Linked DNA regions of Diceros bicornis minor. The protein of the gene in region 2 binds, or shares a complex with, the protein of the main gene of each other region. Links are inferred from orthologs where the notes say so. Each region holds a gene or a part of one and is shown on either strand. Other genes may lie near its edges.

Evidence for each region.
Region 1: the proteins of RAB11FIP1 (region 2) and RAB14 are in contact, whole or in part, in a crystal structure (PDB 4D0G), measured with the Homo sapiens proteins. The link is inferred for Diceros bicornis minor from reciprocal best matches to the Homo sapiens genes RAB11FIP1 and RAB14. Residues at the interface, in NP_001002814.2 of Homo sapiens: Glu1252, Ile1255, Asp1256, Asn1257, Leu1259, Val1260, Met1263, Pro1267, Asn1268, Leu1270, Arg1271, Ile1272; in NP_057406.2 of Homo sapiens: Leu28, His29, Ile44, Gly45, Val46, Glu47, Phe48, Gly49, Trp65, Arg72, Arg74, Ala75, Val76, Ser79, Tyr80.

The regions. Positions count from the first base shown.
Region 1 is NC_080767.1:28,362,389-28,378,498, forward strand, and holds the start of RAB14 (ras-related protein Rab-14), read right to left. Parts: upstream 6,839-16,110; 5' UTR 6,607-6,838; intron 1-6,606.
Region 2 is NC_080768.1:34,612,862-34,628,338, forward strand, and holds the start of RAB11FIP1 (rab11 family-interacting protein 1), read right to left. Parts: upstream 8,008-15,477; 5' UTR 7,969-8,007; coding exon 7,592-7,968; intron 1-7,591. UniProt on the Homo sapiens protein: A Rab11 effector protein involved in the endosomal recycling process. Also involved in controlling membrane trafficking along the phagocytic pathway and in phagocytosis. Interaction with RAB14 may function in the process of neurite formation.

The DNA.
Region 1 (16,110 bases), on a different chromosome or scaffold from region 2:
TAAAATCACCAAGCATTAATTAGCATAAACTATTTCCAAATAAAAGGAAATGATCACTATTTCAGATTGAACGCCAGCGCCTGTCTCCACCTTACCATATAATTTTCTGTTTCAAGTTTCTTAAAAATTACAAATAAAAACCCTAAAAGCATAGTTAAAGGAAAACTACTCAAACTTACTCATTGCAGTAGACAAGGAAGGCAGAAAATATCTAGCACAGCAGCCACTAACACTCACAACGGGTCCTCCCTTTTTTTTTTTTGGTGAGGAAGATCAGCCCTGAGCTAACATTGGATGCCAATCCTCCTCTTTTTGCTGAGGAAGACTGGCCCTGGGCTAACATCCGTGCCCATCTTCCTCTACTTTATATGGGACGCGGCCACAGCATGGCTTGAGAGGTGGTGCGTCACTGCATGCCAGGATCCAAACCTGCGAACCCCGGGCCTCCGAAGCAGAGCGCAAGCGCACTTAACTGCTTCACCACCAAGCCGGGCTCAGGTCCTCCCTTTCTTATTCTAAGGTAAGATACTAGATAGGTTTAACTGTACTCCCATAGTTTACTGATAACATTCACTCAAAATTATGTATTTCCAGGAGAGCTATATTCAAGCGGCCCCTTTTAAATATTAACTATGCTTAACATTGCTTTAACAAAGAATTTCTCAACCTCATTTCTTCAACATGAAACATAGCACTGTTAAGGTGAGGAATGTATTCTTAACTAGCTTTTGGAAGTGGAAAAAAGTTTTTTCTCTATTACTTACAGGTGCTTTTTGCTTTACTTCGAGAACTGAAAAGTCAAAAAAAGGCGGGCGGTTAGCAAGAAATGTTGGTCTAGTTCAAAGAAAACATAAGTCCACTCAACACTACAATCTCCACTAATTAAAAACCTTGATAATATTCTGAAACCTGTGCACAGCTACTGGCATGATTAAAATGTACTTTCTTCCATGTTTTACTAAAAGCATCTGAATAAAGTTCACATGTAGATAAGATCTCCTTTAATGCCTCTGATTTCTTTCAGAAAAGAGTATGTATTACATTCAGACAACAGTCATCACCAAATACATGATGAACAACTTGTAAACTAATAACAAACACAATTGTCATAGTTATCATTTATTGGGCACTTAATATATGCCAGGCAATATGCTCAACATCTCACATGCAATCTAATTTAATTCTTAGTAGTACCCTTATAAAATAGTGACTATTATCCTCCTTTTACAGATGAGGAAAGACTCAACAGATCAGTAACATGCCCAGGTCACACAGGTTAAGTGGTCAAGTCTATAGTGAACCTAGGACTGTTCTGACTGCCAAGAATCTCCTCTTAACTACTACACCATCTTGCTTCCTCCAGTTATGAGATACACTATGAAAGCCTACAGTGGCACTTTGGGACACAAATCTTTCTCAGTTCACTCACTTGATTCTACTTTAATATTCTGAACAAGCAGTATTAAATAATTACATTCAGAGGATACATTGTGATCAGGATTTGTAGATATGGATAAATAATAATACTATCAATAATAATTCATTTATATCTACTTACAAAAAAGTTTCGGAAGGGAACTAACACTTGTTGAGAGTAAACCATGTGATGATCTGTACTACTTTTCCCTATATTGTCTTATATAATTCTTACTTAATTCTTACAACTCTGCAGAATCACTATCATTATGTCCATGTCAAAACTGAAGAAATTGAGGTTTAGGGCCGGCCCCGTGGCTTAGCGGTTAAGTGCGCGTGCTCCGCTGCTGGCCGCCCAGGTTCGGATCCCTGGCACGCACCGACGCACCACTTCTCCGGCCATGCTGAGGCCGCGTCCCACATACAGCAAGTAGAAGGCTGTGCAACTATGACATACAACTATCTACTGGGGCTTTGGGGAGAAAAAAATAAATAAATAAAAATTAAAAAAATTAAGAAATTGAGGTTTAGAGAAATTCACTAATTTGGCCAGTGTTAAAAAGTTAGTAGATGGCAAAGCTGGAACTTGAACCCAGACCTGATTCCAAAGTACATGATTTTCTCTAAGGTAGCTTATAAAGGCATATATATGTAGAATGATAAAAGTGAAAGAAAAAATCAGAGAAAGATGGAGGATAATTACACTAAAAATTTAGGGTAATAGTTTACTATCAGTGCATGTAAAATTTAGCTCTAAACTTCCTGGCTGTCAAGAGAGATGTTTACTAAATGCATATTAAACACTAATAATTGTTGAGTGGCCCCTTTTAAATATTAACTATGCTTAATAGTGCTTTAACAAACGATTTCTCAACCTCATCTCTTGAACATGAAACTTACCACTGTTAAGGTAGAAATATATTTAAAATGGGGTATGCTATTGCATAAAACTCTGCAACATGCTTTATTTTATTTTATTGAGGTTGCACTTTACATTATATAAATTTCAGGTGTACATCATTATATTTCGACTGCAACATGCTTTTTTTCCACTTAACAAAATCAAGGATCTATTTCCAGGCCAATACTTACAGATCTAAATGGTTACTAAACGCATATTAACCACTAATCATTGTTGTGCCAAAAAAGAATCCCATGGTCTCCGTATACCGAATCACACACCTTTCAAAATAAAATATACAGACATATAAATGACTAGTTTTGAAATGTGCAGATACAGATGTGAAAGGAGGCACGTCCATATATTCTGCTTGTGGGAGTCTGAATTGCCACGACATTTTTGGGAAGAAATTGGTATATTTTAAAATCTTAAAAATAATCCAAATCTCCCCTTGGCCAAGAAACCCACTTAGAAGTAGCCTACAGAAACAAAAGCTTCAGTCCATTGGGTTACAGGTGGAAGAGCATTTACTACAGCATCTTTAGAGCAAAAAACTGGAAACTACACTGCCATCAACAGGGAAATGACTGAATAAAGTACATCCATACTATAAAATAATAAGCATCTTGCTTAAAAACCATTTAGATACATACGTATTAACTTGGAAATATATCAATGATTTTGTTAAATGAAAAAAAGCATGTTGCAGAGTTTTATGCAATAGCATGTTCCATTTTTAAATACACATACACTCAATCCTATATGCATATAATATGGAAGGATACACAACAAATTGTGAAAAATGAATACATGGGCTGAGAGTAGAAAAAAGGAAGGGGGAAATTATTAACTTTCTTTATATATCCCTACACTGACAGTCTGAGCACGTACTATATTCATTGGTAATATTCTAAAATATTCAAAGTAGAGAATATAAAGGACTGTTAAATATTTTAAAAGCACTTTTATATATAATTCTAATACAAAATAAATTAAAGAATAAAGGCAAAAAAACTCCCATTCATAATATTACTTCCACATTTACCAATAATATGGGGAAGATCATATGAAGTCAATCATATGATTGGCCTCAGAAAACATCCTAATAATCGAGGCTATTTTTTCCAGTTTTTTTTAGCGTTTGGCTCCTTACTGTGTTAACGCACTAAGTCTGACTAATCCTTTCACAACTGTTATATAGCTATTTTATTCTATTCCTTAGAACATATGATGTTACTGTGTAATTTTTACATAACTGATTCAAGACAACACAGGAAAAAAGCAACCCACTAAATATTCCAGGTGATTTAAATTCTGATCCTCATTGTTAAAATTAGTAAGTTTTCTTTTTTTTCAAATGCAAGACATTTTGTTAAGAACACCAGAGGGAAGATAGACTCCTTTTGTGATTCCAATATAAAAATATTTGTTGAGCATCTACTACTAAGCACAAAGCCATGTTCTAGACTTCGAGAATATAATAGCCATTAAAGAAAAAAAAAAGCCCAACATTGTCCCCACCTTCATGGAACTCAAGAACAGAAGCATTTTGATTTGTTTACAGGCCCACTAAAGTAAAATACCACTTGATTTGTCAGTCAAGTAAACACAAAACTTCAGTAGCTAATCTAATAATCTAATCTGAATGACTGATCAATTTCCTTTCCTCAACAGCAATGCAACCTCTGAAAATAACTAACCCATTTCTGACACTCACTCAAAAAAAAACACACCTCACTTCTGACAAGATATTTAATGTCACACTTTTATATCAATTAATGTGAATATGAAAAAAAATTAGATTCCTTAATGCGTTAAGAGAAAGACAAAATTTTCCAGCTAATTATGATGGTATCAATAGAGAATAAAGTACTCCAATACTGCACCTCTACTCACAGTAAGAAACTACTCAGGAGAAAAAAACAAAACAAAACCCTCACTTACCACTAAAGTTAAAAGGATTAGTAATAGTGAAAAATTTACTGATGATATGATATGATGTCTGAGATTTGCTTCAAAATAATTTGGTGGAGAAATACAGGTGTATATAGAGGAAACAAAACTGATCACTGTTGACACTGGCTAATGGGTAAATGAAGGCTCAATATACAACTCTATTTTGTATATGTTTAAAATTGTCTAGAATAAGAAGTTTTTAAAAAGTAAAATATAGTATCTTTGATACCTCTATCTGTACATTGCTGTCTCCAGCCATGCCTGCCACTTTTAACCACATAAAAATGTTTCAAGCTTTTTTAAAAAATGAAACACGTCAATAGTTCTAGTTTTAACATTTTATTTGCCTTAACCAAGTTTCATCTAATAATACAATATCTTACTAAGATTACATAAAGATATTTAATACTGATAAAAATCAGTTGTAAGAACACTCCAAATTCTGTTGTATAGTTCAAGTATCCAACAAATATAAACATGAAATATAAAAAGCAAAAACTTTTAAAAATGTAGCTTTAATTCCAAGGAATTTCTTAGGTTATCAGAATCTATAGGTTTTACATCTTTACAATAACTGCCATTTATTGAGTGCCTAATATATCCCAGCTACTTTATAAGCAATCTTTAATCCTAAAAACTCATTTTACAGATAAGGAAACCAGCTCAAAGAGGTGGTATATCCAGGGTCTTACATTACTAAAGAGAAAGCTAAGCTTAAGGCCCAGCTCTAACTCGACAGCTCTCCAAAGCCATGCTCCTCTCATTCACTCAACAAACATTAAACACCCACTATATGCCTGGCACTGTTAACAGGCAATGGGGCACTTACTATATGCCAAGCAATGTGCTAAAGGTTTTTAATCCCGTTTAATCCTCACAACTCTAAAATGTGCGTACAACTTTCCCCTGTATAAATAGGGACACTGAGTCTGAGAGCTAAGTAACTTGCTTAAGGTCACTTAACTAGGAAGTGGCAGTACTGGACTGGGAACCCTCCAAAACTCTTAACCACTACATGCCTCAAGGCACGACCAAGTGAAAGGGCCTAAGCAGAACTCTGAAGAAAAATTCTGCAAAGTCTTGGGGGAACAGGAAGCGGGAGCTGGATTATTGCAAGGTCAGGTTTATCCTCAATAAAAGGCAGTGTGATAATTAATAATGAAAGGAGCGGTAACCTCTGCACGAGTTCAAATCTGGGCTCTGACACTTGCTGTGGGACCACCAGGAAAGCACCGGCTCTCTGGGAATCCCAGTTTCTTCTTTAACTATGAAGTGGAAACCTTGCCATCTCTCCTCTGGGGTTGTGAGGATGAGGGCTGGCAGTGCAGTGGCTGACACCACAGACTTCAGGTTATAAAGGAGAATCAGATGTCATCCAACGCAAACACAGGAAAAAAGGAATTACACCGTAGCTACGTTTCAAAGGGTCTGTAACCCTAGCCTAACTTGAATGTAGGAGAGAAAACACCAGCCACCGTGCAGCGCGAGGCCAGTCCGTATGTTCCATCGTCAACCAGCCACACCACACCTTCGAGCCTCAGTTTCCTCACTTGTAAAAGGGAGATACCTCTCCTTATCACCAGGGGCTACGTGAAGCAAGACACACCCGTGTAAAGACACTCAAGCCGTACCTGGCACACAGTAAAGTGCAAACCAGCGAAACACGCCTGTTCCTTCTTTTCTTAAATTCCAGAAAGGCCAAAACTTTTTGTCGTCTTCGTTATTTCTAGAGGCTGTCCGGGCTCAGGGCCTTAGAGGGACTCACCCAAACCAGCACCCGGCGAGCACCGAGCCCCCGACCCTGCCCGGGCCCGAGCCCAGAGACGGTCTAGCACATTGACAAGGACACCGGAGCTGCCCCAAGATGCCGGCGGGGCTGCGGGGTGCTGCCTTTTGTACTCGGGGCCGGACGCGGCCTAGGGGACGGGGGAGGCCGCGCCGGGGTCTGGGGGCTGCGGGCGGCGCGGCCCGCGGGGTAAATACGCGGGGGTGGTCCGCGGCCGCCGGGAACGGCGGCGAGGAGACGGGGCCCGCGGGCGGCGCGATCCGCCCAGGCCGGCCGGGAGGCGGGCAGGCGAGGCCGCACACACCCTTCCCGCACGCCGCGAAGCCCTCCGGGGGCGGGAGCACCGCAGGCGCGGGCGGCGGGCGCCGCGCGGGGACCCCTCACCGCAGCACGGAGTCCTGTCAGGCCCGAAGCCGCGGCGCCCACCGCCGACCCCGCGCTCGCCGCCGCCTGACAGGGCCTGCCCCCTGGCGTCCCCCGCCGCGGCACCGGGAGAGCCGGGCGCGGAGGCCTCGGCCGGACGGACACTGCGGGAGGCCCGGGTTACCTGGGGGGGTGCTGGTGGCTGGGCAGCTTTCCGGGCGGGAGGGGGGCGTCAGGACGAGGAAGAGGAGTGCGGGCGCAGCGGGAGAGGGACACGGGCGGTCGGCCGAGGCCCCGGCAAGGAGCGGGCTGGCCGAGGAGGTGCAGACGCGCCGGAGGCAGTAGCGGTGGCGGCGGCGCCTGCTCCGGCAGCTCCCTCAGGATCTTTCCCGGGCAGGTCCAAGATGGCGGCGCTCCCTGCACAGGGTTTCCTGTCACCCTCGCAATGGGCCGGACCACAAAAGAAGGGGGAGGAGGATGCGCGCGCAGCTGGCGGAGCCCGGAAGAGGGTGTCCGGGGCCCGGCCTGCTAGCCACGCCCCTTCCTCCGCCCTCCCTTCTGGACTCGTCGCGCCGCCGTCTAGGCCCGCCCCACCGGCCCTCGCGCCTGAAGAGGCGGGGAAAGCGCTTATGCGCAAGCGCAGTCGCTTGTCTCCGCCCCCTGGGGGGTGTTACTACGCAAGATCGCGTAGAACGTGCTGAGGTGCGTCTGGGTTTTACAGGAATAGGTTTGTCGCTCTGGGGACTTTTCACTATTTTTAATGCCAGCAACTACCACTTACTGGACGCTTAGCATACACCGGCCACTGTGCTAAGCACACATTTACTGCGTTCATTCAATATGTATTTATTGAGCGCTCCGTGCATAGCGGTGAGCAAGGCACAGTGGGTCCCTGTCCAATAGCCCCAGGGTGTACGTGTCCCCATTTTATCGATGGCGAAACTGAGGCTCAGATTGATCAAGTCACTTGTCCAAGATCGTGTAGCTAGGAAGTGGCAATTAATGCCCTGTGTTTCACCTCTGTCTCTTTTAACCTCCCTTTGGGGTGCCTTTGATGAGAGAAGAGAAATTGTAACCACCTTTTTCACAGTTTGTCCACTACCTCCGGTCTTACAACTTGATCTGCTATAATCACCTTACCAGAAAGTTTAGCACATCTTGGTACAAGGCAGTGTTGTAACTTTCGTGGGCTCTGGGTGCTTTTGCCTTGTGCTAGTGGATGTATATATGTATAAAACTCCTTGTGGATATGTATATGTAGGTTTTATATATATATATATAAATAATATTTAGATTATATATATAACCAATAGGTATATGCTTCTATTCCTATATTCTTTAATTCTGATAGATAAAGTTGGTTTGTGGTCACAATTTAACATCTCTAAAGTCAATAAATTAGCTTGTGCCAAATAAAGAAGAAAGCTGTGAACCAATTACCATTACTTATCCAGCTATGAACTTAGGCCTGACTAGAAAGTTTCTGTATATCTAGTTGTTACCTGAATTGAAATCTTCATGTATAGCTAATGCTTATTGAACACTTGTTATGTGCCAGGAACTGTCCCAAGAATTGTGCATATTTTCTTGTTTAATCCCTACAACATCCCCATTCTGTATTGGGTACTATATTCACCCCATTTTGTGAATGAGAAAGCTATGTTGTACAGGTCTAAAGTCATATAGGTAAAAATTGGAGGTACTGGGACTTGAACTCAAGCACGTATGATTTCAGAACTCCCATTCCAAAGCACTGCTCTATACTTCCTCCCTTATTTGCACTTGTAGCAGCTTAGATGTAGATCTGTAATTGTTACTTAAGTCTATGTCAAAGACATTACAGTTTTGGGGTCAGGCCCAGTGGCGCAGCGGTTAAGTGCCCACCCTCTGCTGCGGTGGCCCATGGTTCGCAGGTTTGGACCCTGGGCGCGTACAGACACACCGCTTTGCTAAACTATGCTGTGGCGGCATCCCACATAAAGTAGAGGAGGATGGGCATGGATGTTAGCCCAGGGCCAGTCTTCCTCAAGAAAAAAGGGGAGGATTGGCATCGGATGTTAGCTCAGGGCTAGTCCTCCTCACACAAAAAAAGACATTACACTTTGCTGCAGCATTGAAGGAAAACATTGTGAGTGCAGTGTGCTTGTCACATGCTAAGCAATGCAATTAAAGGCAGTAGAAATTGTCACTTGTTGTAATAAGTCACAGAATTTTCAAAATTAGGAGAGACTGTGTGACCAGTTGCAGCATAATAAAGAAGGACTGTCTTTTGGATGCCAAACACGTGTCAGGGTTTCTAGGTAAATTCTTAAGAAGCTGTTTATATAAAAAGAGATATATACACAAAATATTCGTTGCAGCACTGTTTGTAATAGCAAAAGACTGGAGACAAACTGTCACTAGAGGGCTATTATAATAAATTTTAGTACATCCATATTGTAGAATATATGCAGCAATTAAAAAGAATGAGGCGCTGGGGCCGGCCCGGTGGCGCAAGCGGTTAAGTGCGCACGTTCCGCTGCGGCGGCCCAGGGTTCGCCGGTTCGGATCCCGGGTGCGCACCGACGCACCGCTTGTCAGGCCATGCTGTGGCGGCGTCCCATATAAAGTGGAGGAAGATGGGCATGGATGTTAGCCCAGGGCCAGTCTTCCTCAGCAAAAAAGAGGAGGATTGGCATTGGATGTTAGCTCAGGGCTGGTCCTCCTCACAAAAAAAAAAAAAAAAAAGAATGAGGCACATGTCCTGATATGGAACAAACTCTAAGAAATACCTCAAGTGAAAAAAACAGGAATCAGAAAACTAAACAGCGTGCCAACATTTGTTCAACTATAAATGGAGGGGGAAATAGACTTATATGCTCATGTAACTGGACATTGAGAGGGATTTTTCCTGTTGTCCTGAAACTGCTGATGAGGCCCAAATCTGAAGAAAAAAGTCCATAAGGAGCCCACATTCTACACTAAAAGAACCAGTGGTTGGAATCAGCTTTCTTCTAGCAGAGTATTTGAAGAGCCATTATTGTTCTTCTACCAGCCCTTCCAGCAGCCTACTCCCCACCCATTCCTCATTCCCACCCCTCTCCTCATCCGCAAACCATCACCACTAATCAGTGGAAAGAAAGAATGGAGAGATGGGGGGTAAGTCAGCCTTTAGGAAAATGCAGTGTTCTGGAAAGAGACCCATCCCTTCCCTTCCCTCCTTGGGGGGCTGTATCCCCTCCTAGAGGCAAGAGAGGAGGCCTCCAAGAGAATGACTGGTGAAGATTGGGTGTGCCTGCAGGAAGAGGAGACTAGTAACGCCCCCAATACCTGTTTGGGGAGCAGACTTACTGATCTGCTTTGCCCCGTTGCATCCTAAGCAAAGGAAAATACAAATGGAGAGAGACCACATTGCAGGGGGCTTTGGGTGGCATGGTGGAGGGCTCTAGACGGAGAGGGATTGCACCTGCCCCCACCACACCCACACACACCTTGACTTCCCAGTCGTAGATTGGAGTACAGCAAAGAGATGTTCATCATCGGGGTGTGGCATGAATGACACAAACTGGCAGTCAGCTGGAAGATGCAGCAAATGAATGAGAGGTCACCCATTCCCAGGGGAGGTGCATGGGGTCGCTCCAGGTGCTGATTCTTTGTCTTATGCATCTGTTCTTGTTTCATTTCTACCTGTTTCTATTTTTATAATTGCTTTTGTAAAAATAGATATTATTCTGTTCTTTGTCTTTTTCCAGAGCCTAAACATTTAGAGTCACTTTCAGATCTCTCTATTGTGTTTATTTAAATCAGATTAATTCATCTTTATTGGTTTTGTCAGCTTAATTTTGTTGATTTTCCTCATATGTTTTAGAATTTTGGTTCGTAGGCTTATCTTGGACTGTGGATTATTTTTCTTTCTCTCTCTCTACACTCACCCCTTTTTGTGTAGTGCTTTTGGAGTTGCCACCAATCCAGCACTAGATATTAAAATATTGGTGTCCCAATTCCTGAGGTAATATTGAAGATACAGCAGAACCAGTACAATTTATACTCTGAATTTTATTACCATGTGCATGTGCTACCTAATTTAAAAAACTAATATATTTTTAAGTGTCGCTGATTAACCTCCAGTGATATATAATTCAATTGAGTAAAAACAAGCAAATAGTTAAAAAATACTAGTTTAACCAAAAAAGAAATAGCTTTTGATATACTTCAAAATTTAGCAAGAAGTCAAAATCAAGTGCATGAGACTCTTTAGTCTCTGGATATGAAAAAGTATTAGATGCAAATTTATGATATGAAAGGAGAAAATGATGCAAAATGTAAGTATTAGTACATGCTATATTCAATTGTAAAAGAAGTTTTGTGTCCATAAAATAGTCCCCCCTCCAACAGATCCATACACCTTATACCAATGCCCCAAAATATAATCCTCTGGGGTTACACCATACGAGGGCATGACTTCTGAAGTTGACCCATAACAACAACAACAAAATCACCTAAGGTGAAAAGTGTACTTGAAGATTTCTCAGGAAATCTCCACACTGGAGTCTGATTTATAGTCTCTTAGTTTTCCTCTGGCGTTGGATGTGATAGCTATCTCTTTGGCTGACCACCAGAAGAAGTGGGTGGTTTAGATTTAGAAGCCATGATACAAGAAAAAATATGCATCTTTGAGCTTTAGAATCACACTGATTGTGGCAAAATGACCACACCATGTGATCCACGTGAAAACTGAGATCTACTAAGAAAATAGCAGATTCAACTCTTTCAGCACATGCTTACTCCAAGGCCTGCACTTGTTTTTAAAAAGGGACGGCAGAGTAGTATTTAAATTTTCTTTATTGCTTTGTTTGACCTTGTACATTTAATTGGAATAATTTAAGTTAAAAGCCTGTGTGATGTGACGCATGCAGTAAAACAATGGTGACTCTCACTATGACACCAATATGGCAGGGACTGTCAAGAACTGAGATTTCGCCCTGTTTGCAAGCTAACAACTTAGCCTAATACAATTTCATGGACACAGACAGAAGACATGAGACTTCTGGGTCAGAGACAAAGGACTTTATTATTCACAGCACTGTGTGCAGCGTGAGCATCAGCATATTTATATCAGTTCCTGGATGTCTTTACACACTGTGTTACAGGAAGGGAACTCTGAGCTGAGAGAAACCAAACCTTTTATAGTGGGAAGTAAGCATTTCTGTCCTTTGCTGTGAAGGGAAACACTACCTCTCTCTTTGAAGGCTGTTTGCTCTACAGACATCCGTGAAAAGATAATCTGGGGCAAACGACAGTCAGTGCATCTGCTCACAAGATGTGCAGAAACACAAGAGACCCATGGAGGGTTGTCTCCCAACACGGGCAAGATTTTGTTGTGTTATATCATATTGTATTTGGTGGAAGGGGATAATGAGTGAATGGTATGCTATAGAGGAAAGAATATGGCTTTGAGAGTCACATTGACTTAGCTCCATTTCTAGCAAACTTTTTATTAGCTCTGTGACCTTAGTCAAGTTACTTAACTTCTCTGAGCCTCAGCTACATAATAAGAGATCTACCCCCATAGAATTATTGTTTAGATCAACTGAGAAAGTATAACTGAAAGTATCAGGCACAATATCTGGAATATTCTTTTTTCTTTTTTTCTTTTGCAGGGAAAGATTCGCCCTGAGCTAACATTTGTTGCCAATCTTCCTCTTTTTTTTTTTTTCCTCCCCAAAGCCCCAGTACGTGGTTGTATATCCTAGTTGTAAGTCATTCTAGTTCTTCTATATGAGCCACCACTGCAGTATGGCAGCTGACAGACAGGTGGTGTGGTTCTCTGACTGGGAAGTGAACGCGGACCACCGAAGCAGTGAGCACTGAACTTTAACCACTAGGCCATCAGGGCTGGCACATGGAATATTGTAAGCATTCAACAAATGCCCAATCTTTCTATCCTTCCCTCATTCACTGATTCCCTCATACATGTGAGTCAGGTGCACAGTTAAGCCTCTGCCAGAGCCCTACACCCCTCCCCCAAATTGGGAGGCAACTTCCTGGGTCCCTACTTGTGTTAGTTACAATACATGGGTTCAGATGCTATAACTAAGGAACCCAAAAATGACAAAGGCTTTCACAAGTTACAAGTTTACTTCTCTTTCACATAGAAATCTAGATAAGTAGTCAAGGGCTGATATGGTAGCTTGAAGGTGGCAATTTTTAAGCTCTTCCTTGGTTGTTACACTGCCACCCAAAAAACATAGCTTCCATCTCATGGTTCAAAATTCCTACTCCAGCTGCCACCATCATGTCCCATTCCAGCCAGCAGAAGGGAGAAAGAGAAATGGATAGCAAGTGCCTTCCCTTTAATGTATGATCATAAGTTGTGCTCATCACCTCTGCTCACATCCCATTGATGTGACCACACCTAGCTGCAAGGGAGACTGGGAAATTTCGTCTTTATTCTGGGTAGGATTATTATTACTAGAGGAAGAAAAGAACAGATATCAAGAAACAACTAGCCATTTCTTCCACACCACCCTTCTTTTCTTAAGAGGGGGCAGGCATTAGAGCTCAAAGGCCTAGAGAAGCTAGACTTACACTCTGAAGTCACCAAGGTGAGGATTGGAACCAGCAGTAGAGCATGAAGATTTCCCACCAGTGTAATTCCCTCAGAAGGCCCATTTTGGGCTCTCTGGGGGACTCTAAGTAAATAGCATCCTATTTGCCTTGCCTGAGTTCTGAACAAGTTGAGGAATAAAACAAAAAGATCACCTTTATTACGATATAAGCCAGGTTGGAGAAGAAGCTTTCAGAGCTGGTGGCTGAAGGGCACCACTAATAGTGAACCCCAGAACTGGCCTGCAAAGACTAGGCAGGCCCCCTGGCAGCTCCCTCCCGGTAAGAAGAAGGACAATGCTGAGTTGAGCATGACTAGGTTTCTCAAATTGACCAAACAGATCAGTCCCTCATCTACCCAGGAATGGATAAACAAGGAAGAGGTACCAGGAATGTGCTTAGAAAAAAAACCCTTCCCCACTGAAACCAGGACTAGGGAAAAGGGGTTCCCCTCTACCATCCATGGAGGGGAAAGAGTGAAGCTTAAAATAGCAGAGCAAGCAGTTATAACAAAGCCTACAAATAAAAGAAGGTCGCAAACTGACAAGACAGAAATTACCCAACACCATAATTAGATTCGTGTCCTGGCCTTGCCTCTTAGTAGCTGTGTGGTTTTGGATAAGTTCTATAAGGTCTCTAGCTCCTCATTTCCTTATCTCTAAAATGAGGAAATAGTAATATCTAATTCCTAGGGTGGTTGTGAAGAGAAAATGGGGTAAAGCATGAAAAGGTCGTAGCACAGTGCCTGGTAGTGAATAAGCCTTCAGAAACAGTAGCTGCGATTATTATTTCTGAGAGCCAATCAATAGCTCCTGAAGCAGTTTCTCCATGTAAATTGGGAAAGGAGAAAAACCTTTATCTGCTATCATGGAATTCACCAGAGGTCAGAAGAGTTTCTGCAGAATAATAAAAATAACTGGGGAGAGAGAGAGAAAAGGGAAAAATAGGAAACAGGCCCCTGCAGGCTTAGCTGGTTTGAAAGACTGGATGGAATGAGGTCCAGGGCAAACTGGGCTAGGCCTTCCCTTTCTTATACCCGCTGTGCACCCCAAACACACATACTTTGGGAGAGGGTTGAGAGAGGGTAGGTCCCACCTATCTGAAGCTCCCTGGCCCTCCCCACAAAAAACCACATAGCAATTAATTTTGTGAAGGGTGTTATGGATGGGACTTCTGTTTAAAAACTTTAGAATCAGCTGGATAAGGGAATCTGAGGTCTCTGATATTCTGTGTTTTATTGCTGAGAAAGCTGTAAGATCCCCTCAGGAGAGGCTGCCCGGGGATTATACGTCACAGTTAACAGGGCATTTGCTCATCAGTGATTCACTCCTCAGTGACTAATGACTGCCCTTGGACTTGGGCTCCTCTCTCCTCCTGTTCACTGGAGCCCCTCAGGGCCCCCGTCCTGTTTTTCTGCTCTGGCCCTCACGTTGGCAGACAAGGAAGGGTCATTGGAGGCCTTTTTAACTAAGCCCCCGTTATGCAGAAGAGAAAACAGATCCAAGGTGTTAATTGACTTGTCCAACAGTTACTCAGCAAGTGTTTTCAGAACTGGAACTAGAAACCAGACTTTGGATTCCTAATCTATTGCTTTTCCAAGACTTAGATTCCAATTCCACAGCCTCTTAGCTCTGAGACTTGGGCAAGCTTCTTAATCTCTCTGGGCCTCAGTTTCCTCATCTGTAAGATAGGTATGGTGGCCCCTAGTTTATTGGATTCTTGTGAAGGTTAGAAATGTATGTAAAATTCCTCTCCACCGTGCCACCATCCCCTCATTTCCACACCTCTTCTCTCTCTGCCAGAGTGTCAGCTGCCTCCTGGAGGAGTTCCCTGCAGCCTTCAAGATTGAGCTGGGCTTTGCTCCTGGGTTCGCTGGTGGGAGGAGCCATCCCCTTCCTTGTGGTGCCTCAGTGCAGATGAGGATTTAGTTATTTTAGAATCCTCAGAGCACAGTATCCATGAAACGTATGAAACTTTTGAAAGCAGACAGACGTAATTTTAATGAATTATGAAGTATGCTTAAAAGTCTCTCTCATTCTTTGATCTTGCCAACGATTCTTTTCCCCTCCAGATACTGGGGAGAAAGCTAAGGAGAAAAGGGAGTGTGAAGGAGAAAGAATTCTTTCCTGCCTATGTATTTATTCTGGGTTTACAGGTTTAATGTCTGACCTCCCCCACCCAAGCTAAGGAGGAAAGGTGCCATTTCTGTTGGGTTCACTGCTTTATACCCTGTACAAGTATGTACAAGATGTAAAAACAGAAACAAAAATAACTTATTTCATCAATAAATGAACACAGGGAAGCTGGGCTTCACTAAGTGACCGATGTCTTCAAGCAGTCTCTGTTTTAGAACAATAGCTGGGGTCACTGGCTTTCAAAAACTATTGGAAAAACCACTTCCTGCTTCCCCCAATCCCCGCTTCTGTTCTGGCATGGAAATGAAAAAGTTGGCAGAGCAAAGCATTTCAGACATGCTCCACAAGAGGGCGTAACAGGCCCACGGTGGGCCAGCTCAGCCAGAACTCCTGGCTCTTGGTCATTGGTCGCATTTGTGTTGCTCCTGCAGATCTGGTTCAGCAGCAGTATTTCTTCAGTCTCTTTTCTCAGTTCCTTTCTTTTTCCAGACCCAGGAGGAAGTGGAGAAACTTCTGGAGTCAGGTGGACTTGGATAAAAATCCTGGCTCTGTCATTTGCTGAAACATTGGCAAATGAGTTAGCATTCTGAGCTATTCTATTTATAATTGGTAACTTCTTCCCAAGGCTGGGGAATCTTCCCAAAGCTGGGGAATCACAGAATTGACTCTTGGTGCAAGAAGGGGCCTTCAAGACTGGCTGGTACAGTCCCTACATTTCACAGATAGGGACATCGAGGCTCAGGCTAGACCAGAGCCAAGTCTCTGAGCACTTGAGCCTGTGCTCTCTCCGCTACATCCTTCAAAAATGCATAAAACATAGGAGCATTCATTAATGAATGAATGAATGAAAAGAAAAAGAGCCCTTTACCGACAAGCTTGTGCCTTTATAGAGCAAGGACTTTGGATCCAGACAAAAACACAGACTTCTTACGTTCATCATCCAGCTTCAGCGGTGACTAACTTGAGCA
Region 2 (15,477 bases):
ATCAGGAAATCATGAAGATTAAATGGCTTAATATACGTAAAGTGCTTAGAACAGTAACTGGCACTTAACAAGCACTCAATAAGTGTTAGTTATAATTTTTACTTAGTTGTAACCACAGTACACATCCAATTTTATTTGTAGCACGTTATTGCCTTACAGTCTTCATACCATCATTTTTAAGGGCTGTATGCTATTCCACCAAGTGCACATATACCATAGTTTATCTACCGAGTCAGATGGTTCTCAAAAGGGAATTCCAGATATCAGCAGTTCTGACTGACTGTATTCCTAGGTATCCAAACTTATCCATCAAAGACAAATCACAATGATTTTGCATGTGAAGGGAGTAGGAAAAGACTGAATTACAAAATCAGTTTGTATTATGCAATTTCCAAAATTAAAAAATATTTAAGAATTTTTAAACTACCATGATCAGTGTATATTTTCTATAACTTACTGTAAGATTTAACAATCCTTAGATAGAACTCTTCAGGGTTTCTACATAGGAAGGAGAGACAAGAAATAGAGGGCTCCCAAACGATTTCAGACATATGCCAAGATGGCACAACTGACTTTTAAATAAAAGGGTTTTCTAAGTTGAAAGCAATACTAAACTCCTGGTAGGTGAAGACTAAAGGAAATAGCAAGCATTAGTATTTTAAGATTCTCTAAGAATTAGAAAAATTAACACATTTTTAAACACATAAGTCTACCACTCCTGCAATCATCTACTTATCAGTTTTACTTGATCATATCTTGAAAAGCCGCAAATGTTAATATTCTACCATCAGATCAGGTATCTAGCCTCTTGTCCAAATGTAAATGCCACTGATGAATTCTATTTGGTCTACCAAAGAACAGTCTCCCGCCAACCATGGGGTCATTTATCACTTACGCAAAGAGACTGTAAGGATGGAAAAAGAAACTGCAATGGTTTGGTTCACCACCTCTTGGCCAGGACAAAAGAAAACAAACAAACTTCAGCACAACAGACATCAAAGAACATTCAGTCCACTCTCCACCCCACAGACTCACACTCCTTTCTATGAGAGCTCCTGGCAAGGAAGCGGAGTATCGATGATTATCCTGTAATCAAGGTAAGTCCCAAGGAGGAGGAAAAGAAGCCCACGACAAAAGCGTTTTTAAATCCTGTTTTAACAACAAATGATTAGCACAAACGGAATGTTCCATTAGTGTAAAAGGAAAACCCCACAGGTCTTGTGCTGTAGGAGGTGACATCCTTGAAGAAATATCCGGGGACCAAGCCTGACGCCAGCGCCCTTCACACAGGCCCCCATTCTTTATGATCACAAGAGGCCTTTTCAGACCAGGCTTTCTGGAAGCCTTAATTGTTCTACCTGGGTTAACCACGTCCTTTTTCATAAAAGAGTATTTAAAAAGTGAAGTGTGCAGCAGCCACACCTCAAGAAACACTTTTCTGGGGTTTCTTATAAATGCCTTCCCTCTACTCTGTCCAAAGGCTGGCATTCAGGAAAAGACATATAATTAAAGCTGCCTTTTTTCTCTCCACAGACACATTCCTAAATGTGTCCCTCAGGGACACCCTGGAGACTAAAGCCCTTGATTTTTCTCTAACAGATTATCTACAGACTTCTCCCTGCAGGAAAGGAATTTCTCGTCTCATTAGTGGCTAAAAGGGCTCCTTTGCCAAAGGCATCATTAGCCACCAAGCTGCAGAAGGTAACCTGCTCCTTTATGTTAAGAAAGGGCTCTGGAGAGCAAGCCATACCCCAAACTGGGAAACGGAAGAAGCCGGAGCTTCAACCTCACACCTCGGACACCCCTAGTCTTTAATCTATTGGCTAAATGTAAGACTCAACAGTTCTCCACGTCCACACAGGCAAACGACCGCCCGCCCCGTGCCTACTCACTCACTCAGAGACGTTTATGAGCCCCTGCGCTGGGTCACACAGCCAGGACCAGACTGATGTGGTCCCTGGCCAAGGAGAAAGCAGGTGAAACTCAGGCTTGGTCTCCTGAGCCAGCTGGGGCATGAGCTCTGACCCAAGACACCCTTCAGGGAGCAGAACCCACTTGCCAAGTTTTTTCCAAGACAAGTGATCTTGGCAGCAGACTGATTTTCTTCAAAGGGCTTCTTCAAAGTCCAATACAAGGGTCTAGGTGTTGATTTTGCTGGAATTCAAAGGCCCCACGGTTTAGAGATCTGGGCCAGACCCAGAACCAAAGGTCACCCAGGGAACGGCTCTGAGATGAAGATAAGGCCTAAAATGACCTCTTCTCACTCTCTCTATCTGGGCTAGGGCTTCTCAATCCTTCTGGAGCTAAGCCAGAGCCAGCGTCCCTCCAAAAGTAGAGGGTGTGAAGCACAGTTTTCTAGGACGTATAGCAACTAAAATCGTAGTATTTTAATAGATATCTAAGATTATTGTTAAAGGGGAGAAGAGTGATGTCAGCAAATATATGTTGGAGCTGACGACATTTTAATAAGCACATGTATTGCTTTTAATGTGCTTAAAATTAACAATTTTAAGCTTTTAACAATTTTAAGCTTTTACATTTTTAAGTTAATAATTACCATTAAAATGACATATCAGATACTATATATAAAGACCCTCCTCTGATGGTAGTTATAGAAATACAATGAAGTCTTTGTAACCAAAAGGAAGTTTAAGCAAAACGAAAAAGGTACAAGACTCTTTCATAGACTTATCTTCTCTAATGTGAAAAACACTTAAGTGGTTGACTTACTTGCCTCAAGAGTTTTATTTTTCATTTATGGGTTTATTTTTCCCAACATTATATATTATTTTTCCTTTTCTTAGTCCTATATTCCTTGAAGCAGTGACTTCATCAGCCGTGTTAGAGCACACCAGTGAGATTTCATCAGCTATGCTCTTCCAAAACAAAGACTTGGCCTGTATGAAAACGGTAAATACTTGAAGATGTACATATACGCACCCTGGTTTCAATGGTGTTCCCTACTAAATCACTCCAACAGAAGACTCAGCTCAGGGGTGTCACCGCCCAGAGTTCTTTGTAATGGTGACCTCACTCTGGTATCACAGTGACTGTTGGGGAAAGAAAGCAGCCACCACTTCCTGATTCATTTTCAACAGCCAGCTCTCCTTATTTTATTTGCTCATTCTTAACACTTCCTCTCATGTGTCCCCACCCACATCCAATCCATCACCAGCCAGGCCAATTGAAACTTCAAAATATTTGTGAAATCCACCCACCTCTGTCCATCTCCGTGCAGTCACCCTAGCCCAGCCACCACCATTAGTCACCTAGATTACTCCAACAGCCTCCCATTTTGTCTGTCTGATTCCAGGCCAGGCCTGCTTCAAATCCATTCTCAACCCAATGGCCACAGTGATTTTTGACAAACTGGATCACACCACCCCTCTGCTATTAACCCTTAGTGGTTTCCCATTGCTCTTAAATAAAGCTCTGACTTCCTCTTCAGCCTCAATCTACACAATCTCTCCAGCTTCCCAGGTGTTCCTGTCTCAGGGCCCTTGCACAGGCTGCTCCCCCTCCATCAGGCCCCCTTCCTCTACTCTTCACCAGAAAAACTCCTCTTTATTCTTCAGGTCTCTGCCTCAGAGAGGCGATGCGCAATCTCCTTCTTTAAATCATGTCCTTCCTGCTTTTTTCTCTTATGACACCCTGTTCTCTTCCTCCACACTACTTATCACAATATATGATTATTTATTTATGTGTTCGTTTGTTTAATGTCTCTCTCCCCCACAGACTCTGAGCGTCCTGAAAGCAGGGACCCTGGCTGTTTTGGTCACCCTTGTTTACACTGTACACCCAGTACCTGGCACACAGTAGGCATTAAAAAATATTTACTAAAAGTATAGATGAACTTTCAAGACAGGGGAAAGCAGGTAGAACTCTCCCCATGCTAACTGAATGTCTTACAAATGACATCACAATCAAAGCATACCATGAAAAAAACATGAAGGAACATCTTTCACACCATCGGAACAATGCCTTTAAGGTACATTCCCCCCTTAGTCATTTCATTCCATTGTTGTAAGCAGGTTAGGGTTATTTATCCCAGAGCCGACAGAGAAACTCAGTCCTGGGCACTGAGCTCAGTTTCCTACCCTGGAGCGGGAAGGGACTGTGAAAGGTGGGAGGTGGGAGGGTTCCAGGAAGGCTCAATGTTATCTCTAAGGGGAATCCCAAGAAAGGAAAAACTGAAGCAGTAACAACATTGTTCGAATTTTCCAATCTGTTACAAATAATCTAAATGTGGTTAGGAAACGTACAGGTATAAGCACAAATGCTGACGGCTCATAATGTGTGAATTATAGATCTCAACCATCATCTAAGTCATTTCTCTGCATCTAGCTCTCCTAGAAAAACAACTATCTAGCCCTTATTTCTTTTTAATAACCCGAATTTCCCTTGGCAATTTATGACAGAATCTTACTACACTTACAGTTCTTCCAAATATCTAACCTTTATTAATATCCAAATCCTTTCAGGTGCAACTGAATTCCCTCTTGACTCTTCAAGAGAGATAAGAAAATGCCTCTCCATCACTCATGTTCTCTCTTCATATCTGGAAGACTATTCCAGTATTAAGTTTCATGATATTTAGTTACACAATGGCCTTCCAGTCACCAGCCTGAATGAATATTCATTTTAATCTATCCTTAAGAGACTGTTTCTCCAAATTTTATTGCTCTTAGTACCTAAAAAGGTGTCTTTTTTTTTTAAATCAATTTAGGATCCCAAACTACATCAGACCAGAGAGCTGTACAGAGACTCCTACATGTTGGTGACCTCATCCTGCTCTCAGATTCATGTCTGTTCTATGATCACAAGATGTAACTGATTCCCAGTTAACTGAGGCCCAACTGAGACCCCAGGTCTTTCATAGCTAAGTAGAAGTGCAAAATCAATTCATTTCAATTTTTTCTTAACTAAAAGGGCCATGCAGTCTTCCCTATTAAATGTATCCTATCTATATGTCAGCCTCTTTGGTATCTTAAAGATGTGTATTATCACACTAAATTTGACGTCTGCAAAATCTGAGTCATTACAAAAAGCATATTCTCTTGACTCCAAATACATCAAGAGAACAAATGGAAATATTAATTCAGCTGGCTCTTAATGCCTTGAGTTTCAGCTTCTAGAACCATGACAAAAGCTATAGTGTATAGCAGCAACTCTTCTTTCCTAGAGATTAACACACATGCACGTGCACACACACACACCCCCATACCCACACACACAAACCTATAGACCAAGATTTGAGCTTTTGTTTTGTTTCTGGTTTTAATGTCTAAGGTGGAGTCAATCCATTAATAACTAGGTCAAATGATTTTCCTAGCCCAACCAGTTTCTTTCTGTTAAACTTTTGCCTCTCAGTATGTCTCACTTTCCAACTGTCAGCTATCTTGGGCACCCAAGTGATGTACCAGGGCATCAGCCCTGAAACCAGGGCTCAGTTTAACTGGGTTCCCCAGCACCTCGGAAAGTCCCAGGAAACTTGCAATTTCACCTACCGATAGAGGAGCAAAGAAGTCTTCCTTTGCGGTTATTAAAAAACCATCAATTAAGTGCCATTTTCCTACAAGTTGATACTGTGACTAAGTGGTAATCAGCTCATGTAACAGAGACAGGAATAACCACCTGGGTTTAGGAGTACATTGGGGAGGATGAGAAAAATGAAGATGCAGAGACTGAACTCTTCCTGACATAGGGAGCTTAGGGAGGTTTCCATTCCTCACAAAGCAATAACAGAACCTTCTGAATCTATACATGGGTCCCATTAATTCACAAATCCAGAAACATCTTACAAAGATCAATTAAGTCTGGCAACAAGCTCCCTTTATAAATAGGGAAACTTGGGTGTTTAGAGACGGAACAGCCAGAAGCCCAACAATGAGTCAGGACCAAAGTGGGCATCAAAGCTAGGAATCTGAAATCCCCGTCCCCAGCAGGGAGATGCGATCTGTCTTTCAAGGGAATGAGGTGTTCACATAAGAAATGGATGGCAGAGTCAGAAGTTAATATCCACACATCTTGGGATGGGGCAAGATAAAGGACGGTCAACGGTGCTCATTTGAGGTTGGAAAGGAAGCCAACTCAAGGCCCCAAATGTCGTTTCATCAAATGGAAAATTAGCAGTGCTTCAGCCCCTGCTTAGCAAAGACACTGCTCACCTTATGGCTTGTAAATTGATGCCATGAGATACCCCATCCATCCTCACCTCGAGGCTCTCTAGTTTTATCTGATTTGAGCTCAGAAATGCCTATTCATCTTCGGCCAGATAAGCGAATCAGGTATTACATTTGCAAGCAGGCATGCCGAAATTGGAGCCATTGGACAGAAAAGGGAGTCTGGTAACTTCAAACGCTCTGGCTTTTCCCGTTTCCTTCACCAGGGAAAGTTAACATACTGTTTAAAACACACAAAGTAAATCAGTGTGCTCCTTAAACTGGGGCAGTTAGGCGGTAACGTGACTGCCTGCATATTTAAGATCCAGCAAAGTAACCAACTAAGCTAAGCGAGGCGAGCTTCTGGTATACTAGATTAGCATAATCAAATGTTCCATTCCAAGCACCTGTGAAAGAGAAGAAATAAATCCATAACACTGTGGAGTGAATTGGGTTTTGCCCAGCTCTCCCTGCAGGAGTGAGAAACTCGAACACAGAACTCTTGACTGGGGAGCTACAGGTGAGCAGCCATCCACTGGGAGTAGGACCCGAGAGAACTTGACAAACTCCAATGAGAAACAATGCCTGCTTCCCAGTTGGGTCTCAGACCCTTGCTCCAGCCATCACTGGGAAATCCTTACTAACCTGGGGCCCAGGGCAAACAGGGTTAACATTCTTCAGTTTGAAAGTTAAAACCAAACTGTTCTACCATTCTTTGGGGAAGAGAGCGGGGAGGGAGGGGCAAATTCTCTTCACCAACCCCTTCTGCAGTTGTGAGGTGGGGGTGAGGGAGAGCCATCACCGGGCAGCCTGCATTCCTCATTCCCCAGCCCCCCACCTCCACCCACCCCGCACTGTAACGCCCCCGCTCTGTCCCTGGGTGAGCCTCTCGGGCCAGGGAGCTTCAGTGGGTCTCACTCCTCCAGTTAATCCTCCCTGCGCCCTGGCCCGGTCATTCTCAGCTCAGCGTCCAGGTCAGTGAAATACCCAGGAGGCTTTCCGCATAAGTTAAGGCGTGCATCAGACACACTACTCACACTAATAAGAGGTGTTTGCCAGCCCACATATATTTTCAACTCATCAAAAATTCATTAAGGGCTTACTAGGTTCCACGCGCTGAGCAACGCCCAGCAGATTCAAAAATGCCCCAGATATACACTCTCCCAACCCCGTCCTCCTTTCAAAGAGCCCACATACTGGGACAGCTGGGGTATGGCAGCCGAAGAAGTTAAAGCTACGTTATTACTAGTCCAGGGGATCCCTCTCGAAAGGCCTCTCTCGGTCCGCCCCCTGGGGACCCAGCAGCGCGGTGACCGCCGCGCTCACTCCAACAGGATCTCGGCGCCCCGACCACACGTTCTCCCCGCCATGCCCCATGCCCGAGGGGCCCGCGCCTCCGCTCCCCGTCCTCTCCCCCGGCCCGCACTCACTGCGTCTTCCGGCGGCTCTGGTCCCGGTGCAGCTCCCGCAGGTCCACCTCGGCGCGGCCCAGGAACTTGTCGAGGCCAAGCAGCGCGCGGTGCAGCACGGTGAGCTGCAGGGTGGCGGCGGCCGCCGGCGCGGCCCCGGTCGATAGCAGCGGCGGCAGCTCGAAGGTGGCCTCCTCCCGCCACACCGGCGCGCCCAGGCTGCGCTCCGACACCGAGGTGGCGTACTTCTCCTTGCCCACCTGGATCACCGCGTACGCGTCGCTCGTGCCCCCGGGGCCCTTGGCCCGCAGGCCCCGCGCCTGCAGCACTGTCACCTGCACGTGCGTTGGGGACCACACGGCCCCCGGGCCCCGGCCCGCCGAGGCCGCCAGGGACATGGTGACGGTGCCGCAGTCCGTTCGACGTGAGGAGAGGATCGCCGGTCCGCGGCCTCTACAGCCCGCCCCGCCGCCCCGGCCGCTTTAAGGCTTCCGGCCACGCCCCCGCCGGGCCCGCCTCCCCCGGCCCGGCGCGCCGCCCGCCCCCTGCCCGCGCCGGCCCCGCCTCCGAGCGCAGGCCGTGCGGGGCACCGGGCACCGGGGGCGGGGCTGGCGCGGCGAGGGCAGGGGCGGGGGCTTGGGGAATTCTGGTCTGAGAGGCGCTAGGAGAGGGATGGGGTCCCCAACGGCCAAAGGCCGCCCCGCCGCACTGGAACTGCCCGAGCCCTGGCTGGGCAGTCAGACCTCACGCCAGTCTGGCACCGCCGGCTGGCAGGTGTGTGACCTAGCACGATTACTTCACAGCTTTCGTCCCAGTTTCTTCATCTGTGAAACGAGATAACAGTCACTTCATAGAATTGCTGTGAAAACATAATGTAGCCTGGCACGTGGTGAGTCCTCAGTAAACGGTGGGTATGATGGTGATGATGAACGTGATCCCAAATTCACCGCGCTTTCTACTTGGGCCCGCCGAGTGCGTTACTGGAGGAAGGTGGGTTCTGGGATGGTGCCAGGTGGTGGGGAAGGAGGAGTATCGTTTCAGGGCTCGAAAGGGGAAGGTGAAGTGGAGGGTGGGCAGGAGGTGGTGTGGGAGTGTCCTGTTTTGCCCTGCCCTCACCAAATAAGGTGAGGCTAAGAGGCTACATGAGGGAAGGAGAAGAAAGGAGGAACTGAAATGGGATTGCCAAACCAGATGTCAGGAGCAGAGGGCCCCCTGCCTCAGTTCCCCATTTCTCCCTGGCCGGGACCCTCTTCAGTCTCTCCCTGCTGTTTATCTCTGGGCTCCCAGTCAGTCACTTCCTTGTTCCAAATATCCATTAGATTGGCGGATTCCCTTCATTCCCGCTATAGGGTCGACTGTGGATCATCACACTGGAAAGGTCACTCTGCAAGCTTATGGGTTTTAGTGTTAAGAAAAGGCCCAGAGCAGAGAAGTGACTCGTTTAAGCTCCCACAATAGAGCCAGGACTAGAACCCAGGTGTCTGGAGCCTCCAGTGTTTTTGCTGCATCCCTCGCTTCTTCCAGATCCTCAACCCCAATCTTGGATTGCTGCTGGTTGCCCCCTGATCTCTAGGCTCTCCTCCCTCCGGTCCACACTGCACATTGCTGCACTAACCTGCTCGAAATCCTACAATGTTGCCTCACCACCATTTGCATTAACTTCAGACTTAGCAGAGATTTCAAGGCATTCCTATTTTGGCCCCACTCTGACTCATTCTCCTCTATCTCCCGAACAAACTGTAGCCCAGATAATCTTCCCACCTCCAGGCCTTTACTCACTGGGCTGTCCCATGGCTGCCCTGCCAACCTCTCTGCCTACCCAGGTCCTACCCACTGCACAGCTTCACTCTGGTTTCTCCAAGGTCTGGCTTCTCATAGCCCCCTTCAGGGCAGGGGCCAGGTAGCGACTTATTTAACTTGTCTCCTCCACAGCCCCTAGAGACACCTGGGTACACAGTAGGTGCTCGGGAAGTGCTATGGAATTGAAGAGTTTGCAGGTTATTCCAGCCAACCATGAGTACTTCGTGTGTCCTTTTACCATGTAGGAAATTAGATGACAGACATTATGCCTCAGGTTTGCAACTGAGGGTGGCTACAGTGTGAGAAAGGCCTATTTAGTATGTTGTAAATATTTAACGGTAATCGGAAGGGAAAAGGAAAGGAGGCACCAAACATGAGGTGGCAGGAGAGCCTAACAGAACTCTTGTTTTGATGCCATTTCCCCTTCTTGATGATCTGTTGACCTCATGGCTCCATTCGTTACCGTACAGGTTTATTGAGAACTTTACTCTGTGCCCGGCATCTGCTAGGTGCTACGGAGGGGACAAAGTCCTCCAAAGGGGACCCAGTTCCAAGGCGCACCATGACAGATGCTATAGAGGAAGTCCTGTATTAATAAAATGCTTTGGGTGTTTTGAGGACAGAGAAATTTCTCTAAGCAGGTGGATTTTTGTGAAGGAAGTGGCATTGAGCTGGGCCCCAATGGATATACCAGATTTGGTGGGCAGAGAAGGGGCCATGGGGGAAGAGTATTTCAGGAGCGGCGAGCAGAACAGATGAAGCAAAGGCATGGGGGCCAGAGAGTACCCCTGACGTGTACAGGGGTTATGAGCACCCCCACTGGGGCTGGACTGTGGGATATTTTAGGAGGGCGCTGGGGGTGGGTGGTAGAGATAAGACCGCCATGGTAGGTGGGTCCAGATCATGCATATCATGAACACCACAGTGTTAGACCAGGTGAGCCAGCCTGCAGAGGATTTTGAGCAGTGCTGTGATGAGACCGTGCTTCAGGCTGCAAGGCAGGTATGAGCAGAAGTAGCCCAGCAGTCAACAGCGCGGCAGGCCAGAGCCAGCTACCTTCCTTCATTTTCACCTGGGGACGCCTGCCTCCCGCCCCATTCCAGCCCCCCTTACCCATCCTTGGTGTCTATTCTAGGTTGGTACTGCCTCCAGGAAAGCATATACTTCCTTCTTGCTTGTCCTACCTGTCCACTGCTCCACTGCATCCCAGCTGGACAAAGTCAAAGATTTGGGAGCAAAACTGGGAGTAAAATTTTTCAGCTCTGGTCTCCCTACCTCCCCGCAGTAAAGAGAGCAAGGAATGAAACCTGGCTGGACAGCCTCACAAGCTGAGTGTGACACGAAGCATCCCTTCCACTCATGGAAAGAATTAGAGGACAAAGGGGAGAGGGAGGAAAAATTATAAGCACCTTGTGACCTCGTGTGTTTGGGTTTCTGTCAGACACAAATAGGCTCTATGGTTAAAGCCAAGGTGGTGGGTGGGGGCTGGCCTGGTGGCGCAAGTGGTTAAGTGCGAGCACTCCGCTGCAGCGGCCCGGGGTTCACCGGTTCGGATCCCAGGTGCGCACCGACGAACCGCTTGTCAGGCCATGCTGTGGCAGCGTCCCATATAAAGTGGAGGAAGATGGGCATGGATGTTAGCCCAGGGCCAGTCTTCCTCAGCAAAAAGAGGTAGATTGGCAGATGTTAGGTCAGGGCCGATCTTCCTCACAAAAAAATAAATAAATAAATAAAATTAAAAAAAAAAAAAAAAAGCCAAGGTGGTAGGTTCGGGGAGGGCAAGGCTGCCTCACCACCTGGAGAAATCAAGATCCTCTCTCTAGACACTGGCCACTAGCAGGGGTTAACTCAGAGGGGTGGGGCTCACGAGAGGCAGGAGGTAGAAATCCATCCCAGGGGGGAGAGAGATGCCAGGAACTCCAGCACAGGGCCAGCTTCAGGGCTGGCTTCCTGCCCTCCAGGCTCCTCGGTGCTTGTCTTCTCCCCTCCTCCTGCCAGAGCACATCATCTGTCCCTCTAGACTCACTCACTGACCTCCCAGGAGTAAGAGCCTGTCTTCTCCCCATGTTATAGACCCACAGTCTGGGCTGTGGGGTGCACAGGCCTAACGACAAGAGTGAGATCAGCTGGCCCTGTCCCCCACCTGCCCTGGGAGGACTCTACCTCCTCTCCCACAGGCTGGGTCCTGGGTGGGCCTGGGGTGGCAGACCCTTCTCAGTTTCACTGAATTCTGGTTCACTGAATTCCAGGAGTGTTTGTAAACACCCCCCACAGCCAGGGTGTGGCTGATGACTCTCTTTCCTCTCACCCTGCCCCGCCTCTAGCTCGGCCTGAAAGAGGAAAAGAGTTTCAGTGGGCCCTAGCACGTGGGCAAGGCACCCGGCAGGTTAGACTGGACAGGTTAGCTGCCTGAACTCCTCCCAGAGCAGCAGAGCAGAGAGCGCCGGACCCCCAGCCACGGCCGCCGGCCCTGGGCCTCTCCGCAGGCAGCTCCCGGCTGTGCAGTTAGATGCCGAGCACAGATTTGCTCTTCGGCGCAGGTGGGAAGACTGCGCCTCCATAAGACATAGTGTAGAGCTGTGCTGGGGGCCGGGAGGCAGGCCATGCGGAAGGAGAGACTTTCACTGCCCTGCTAACTGCCAGTCACTCCCACCCAGGGCTCCTCAGTATCCCCCTACTGCCGGAACACTAACTCAAAAATCATCAGGGGACTCTGGATGGGCTAATGTGCTATCCCAAGGGAGGAGCAGAAAGGGGCTGGTCATGGCCGCTTGTCTTTCTCCTTTGCCTCAGACTCTAGGGGTGTGGTGACAAATGTCCACACACATGACTCATTCACTGAGGCTCTTGGTAAACAGCCCTCTGGCTTCTCCAGGTCCAGCTGCCTCAGCCTCCTGCACACTCGGTTGACTGAGACTACCTTCTAGGCGTGGGCTCTGGGAGTAAGGGTTTCCTGCTTTGTGGGGTCAGGGAGCCCGGGGAGCAATCCCTGACATCAGGCTCTCTTTCCATGGCCCCAATGGCTTGCATCATAGATAACGCAAAGGTATTATCTTTCCCTTTTGTCACGTCCCTTCAGAGAAGGCCCCTGAGTCCTACGACTAAAAGGCAGTAGAGAATGTGTGCCCCTTACCTTCCCACTTTCTGCCCAAAGCCTTCCCTTCCACCTCTCCCATTCAGAATTGCTTCTTGTTTCCCAACTTATTTCTTGTACTCTGATTCAGCCCTTGTTTTAATCCCTGTAAGCATCTCAAAGGCAGGAAATGTCCTCACGTTTGCATTGCCATTTCTAGCTCTCCCAATTCCAATAGAAGGCAGTCCAAGTTAAGTAGAGGAGACATAAATGACTTTTAACCCTTCAGCATTAGTCCATTCAATCCCTGCTACTGCCACTTTAGCACTACCCTGTATAACGATCTTTTTGAAATGTAAGGTTTTATTTTTTATGATTACAAAAGAAATACATGTTCATCATAGATGCAAGCCATACTCCACCTTTCCAGAATCAGTTTCAAGGCATACAGGGGGAAAGCAGAAGTTTTGAATGTTTATTCCTCCTTGAATTGTCCCATTGGAAGGGTCTGGTTCTCTTCCTGGCCTCTCCCATGTAAGCCATGAGCCTCCGCTTTCTCATTTGCTGGGACCCCTGGACACAGACCCCACCGCAGCAGAGCTGGCCAAGAGGTGGGTGTGAGCAGCCCCACCTACTCTTTACTCCTCTTCCATTTTGATGCCACAACACGTGGCACAGGGCTGATGGGGTGCACTGACGTTTGATACCCTAGGGAATTATAATGGAGGCCTGGAAGCTTAAAGCCGAGCCCAGCACTTGACATTTTACAAAGTCCAAGGGGGAGCATCAGAATAAAAGTCTTTACTTAGGGGTCCCCTCCAGGGGGCAACACCAGGTTCTAACCAGGTTCTCTCCTTACATGCCTTCTTCTTACCTGCGCCTATAGTCCCTCTTATGAATCTCTGCCCATCTTTGGGAAATCCTATCCCTTACCGGTCCTAGGATGCACAACACCTTTCCTAAGTCTAAATCATTCACGCTGGGATAACATTTGCCCCCACCACCCCAACCACGCACACTCCAAGTTTGGGGAACACCTTCAGCAAGGAAAGTCAATGACACTAAAGTCTTATAAACAGATAGGGAAACAAATTACAAAACAGCCTGTTCCGTGGCACGATTGGGTCCTCCAATTCAAGTTTTCTTCAAAACTTGTTGGACTAAAAATACGTACACGTGTCCCAAAATAAACATTCCTGAGAGATGATACCACCTAAATCTATAATGATAAATCAAATATTGTTGTAATCATTCATAATTTTTAATAAACATATGTATTGAAATCTAATCAGAAAATGGAAGAAAAATGTATAACATAGGAACAGATTTTTTTAAACAAACTTTATTATAGCATTACAGCACAGCTATAACGAAGGAAAGAAAATGAAAAGGAAAACATTATACACAGAAAAGTGCACAAAAGTGTTCAGCTTGGTGAATTTTCACCACCCAGATCAAGAAATAGAAGAGTATCAGCTTCTGCAGGAAATCTCCCCTGAGTTCCTCCCAGTCACCAAGCCCCCCTCCTTTCCAAAGGTAACCACTCTCCTAACTTCTATCCCCATAGATGGGTCTTGCTATTTTTGAACGTTATATAAATGAATCATACATTACATATTTATTTTGGGTCTGGCTCCTTTCACAGTATTGTGTTTATGAGATTCACCATTGGTGTTCATGGAGCAATAGTTTGTTCATCTTTATTGTTTTATAGTATTCCATGGTATGATTATACCACAGTTTATTTTTCATTCTACAGTTGATAGACATTTAGGTTGTTTCTAGTTTGGGGCTGGTAGTGGGCTGAATGATCGCCCTCCAAAAGATATGTGCCATCCTAATCCCTGGCACCTGTGAATGTTATTTTGTTTAGAAAAAAAGAGTCTTTGCAGATGTAATTAAGTTAAGGATCTTGAGATGAGGAGATCATCCTGGATTATCCAAGAAGGCCCTAGCTCCAATGACAAGTGTGCTTAAAAGAATGAGGCAGAGGGAGTTTACACAGACAGAAGGAGAGAAGGCCATGAGAAGGAGGCAGACACTGGAGTGATGTATCCACAAGTCAAGGAATGCCCACAGCCACCAGAAGCAGGGAAGAGGAAGGAACAGAACCTCCCCTAGAGCCTCTGGAGGCAGTGCAGCCCTGCTGATACTGTAATTTCAGACTTCTGGGCTCCAGAACTGACAGTGAAAGGATAAATTATTGATCTGCCAAGTTTGTGGAAATTTGTTATGGCAGTCACAGGAAACTAATACACGGCTATTAGGAATAAGTTTGCTATACACTCTTGCATATCTTTTGGTACCTATACATAAACATACACACACACCTAAGAATGGAATTGCTGATCATAGGGTGGATATATGTTTAGCATGAGAGATATTGCCAAACGATTTTCCAAAGTAGTTGTACCAATTTATACTCCCACCAGCAATGTTTGAGAGATCCAGTTTCTCCACATCTTTGTCAAGCTTGGTATTGTCAGTCTTCCATATTTGCCCTTCTGGTGGATGTACAGTGGGTTTAATTTGTGTTTCCCTGATGATTAATGGGGTTGTGTGCTGACTTATTGGCCATTTGGATATGGTCTTTTGTGATGTGCCTACTCATTTCTTTTGTCCAGTTTTTTCAGTTGTCTGTCTTATTGGTTTGTAGGATATATATATATGTATAATATTTATGTATAATATATAATATATTATATATAATATAAATATTTAAATATATTTATATAGACAATATATTTTATTATATATAAGGATATATAATAAAATATATATATATTTTATACCTTTGTCAAAAAAATGTAATGCAAATATCTTCTACTCTGTGGCTTGCGTTTTCACTCTTAGTGGTGTTTTGGGGTAAAAAGAAATTCTTTTAATGAAATCTGAGTTATCAATCTTTTCTTTTATAGTTAGTGTTTTTGTGTCCTGTTCAAGAAATCTTTACTGCCCCAAAGTCATGAATATATTCCCCTTTATAATCTAGAAGCTCTATGGCTTTACTTTCACATTTAGATTAGCAATCCAC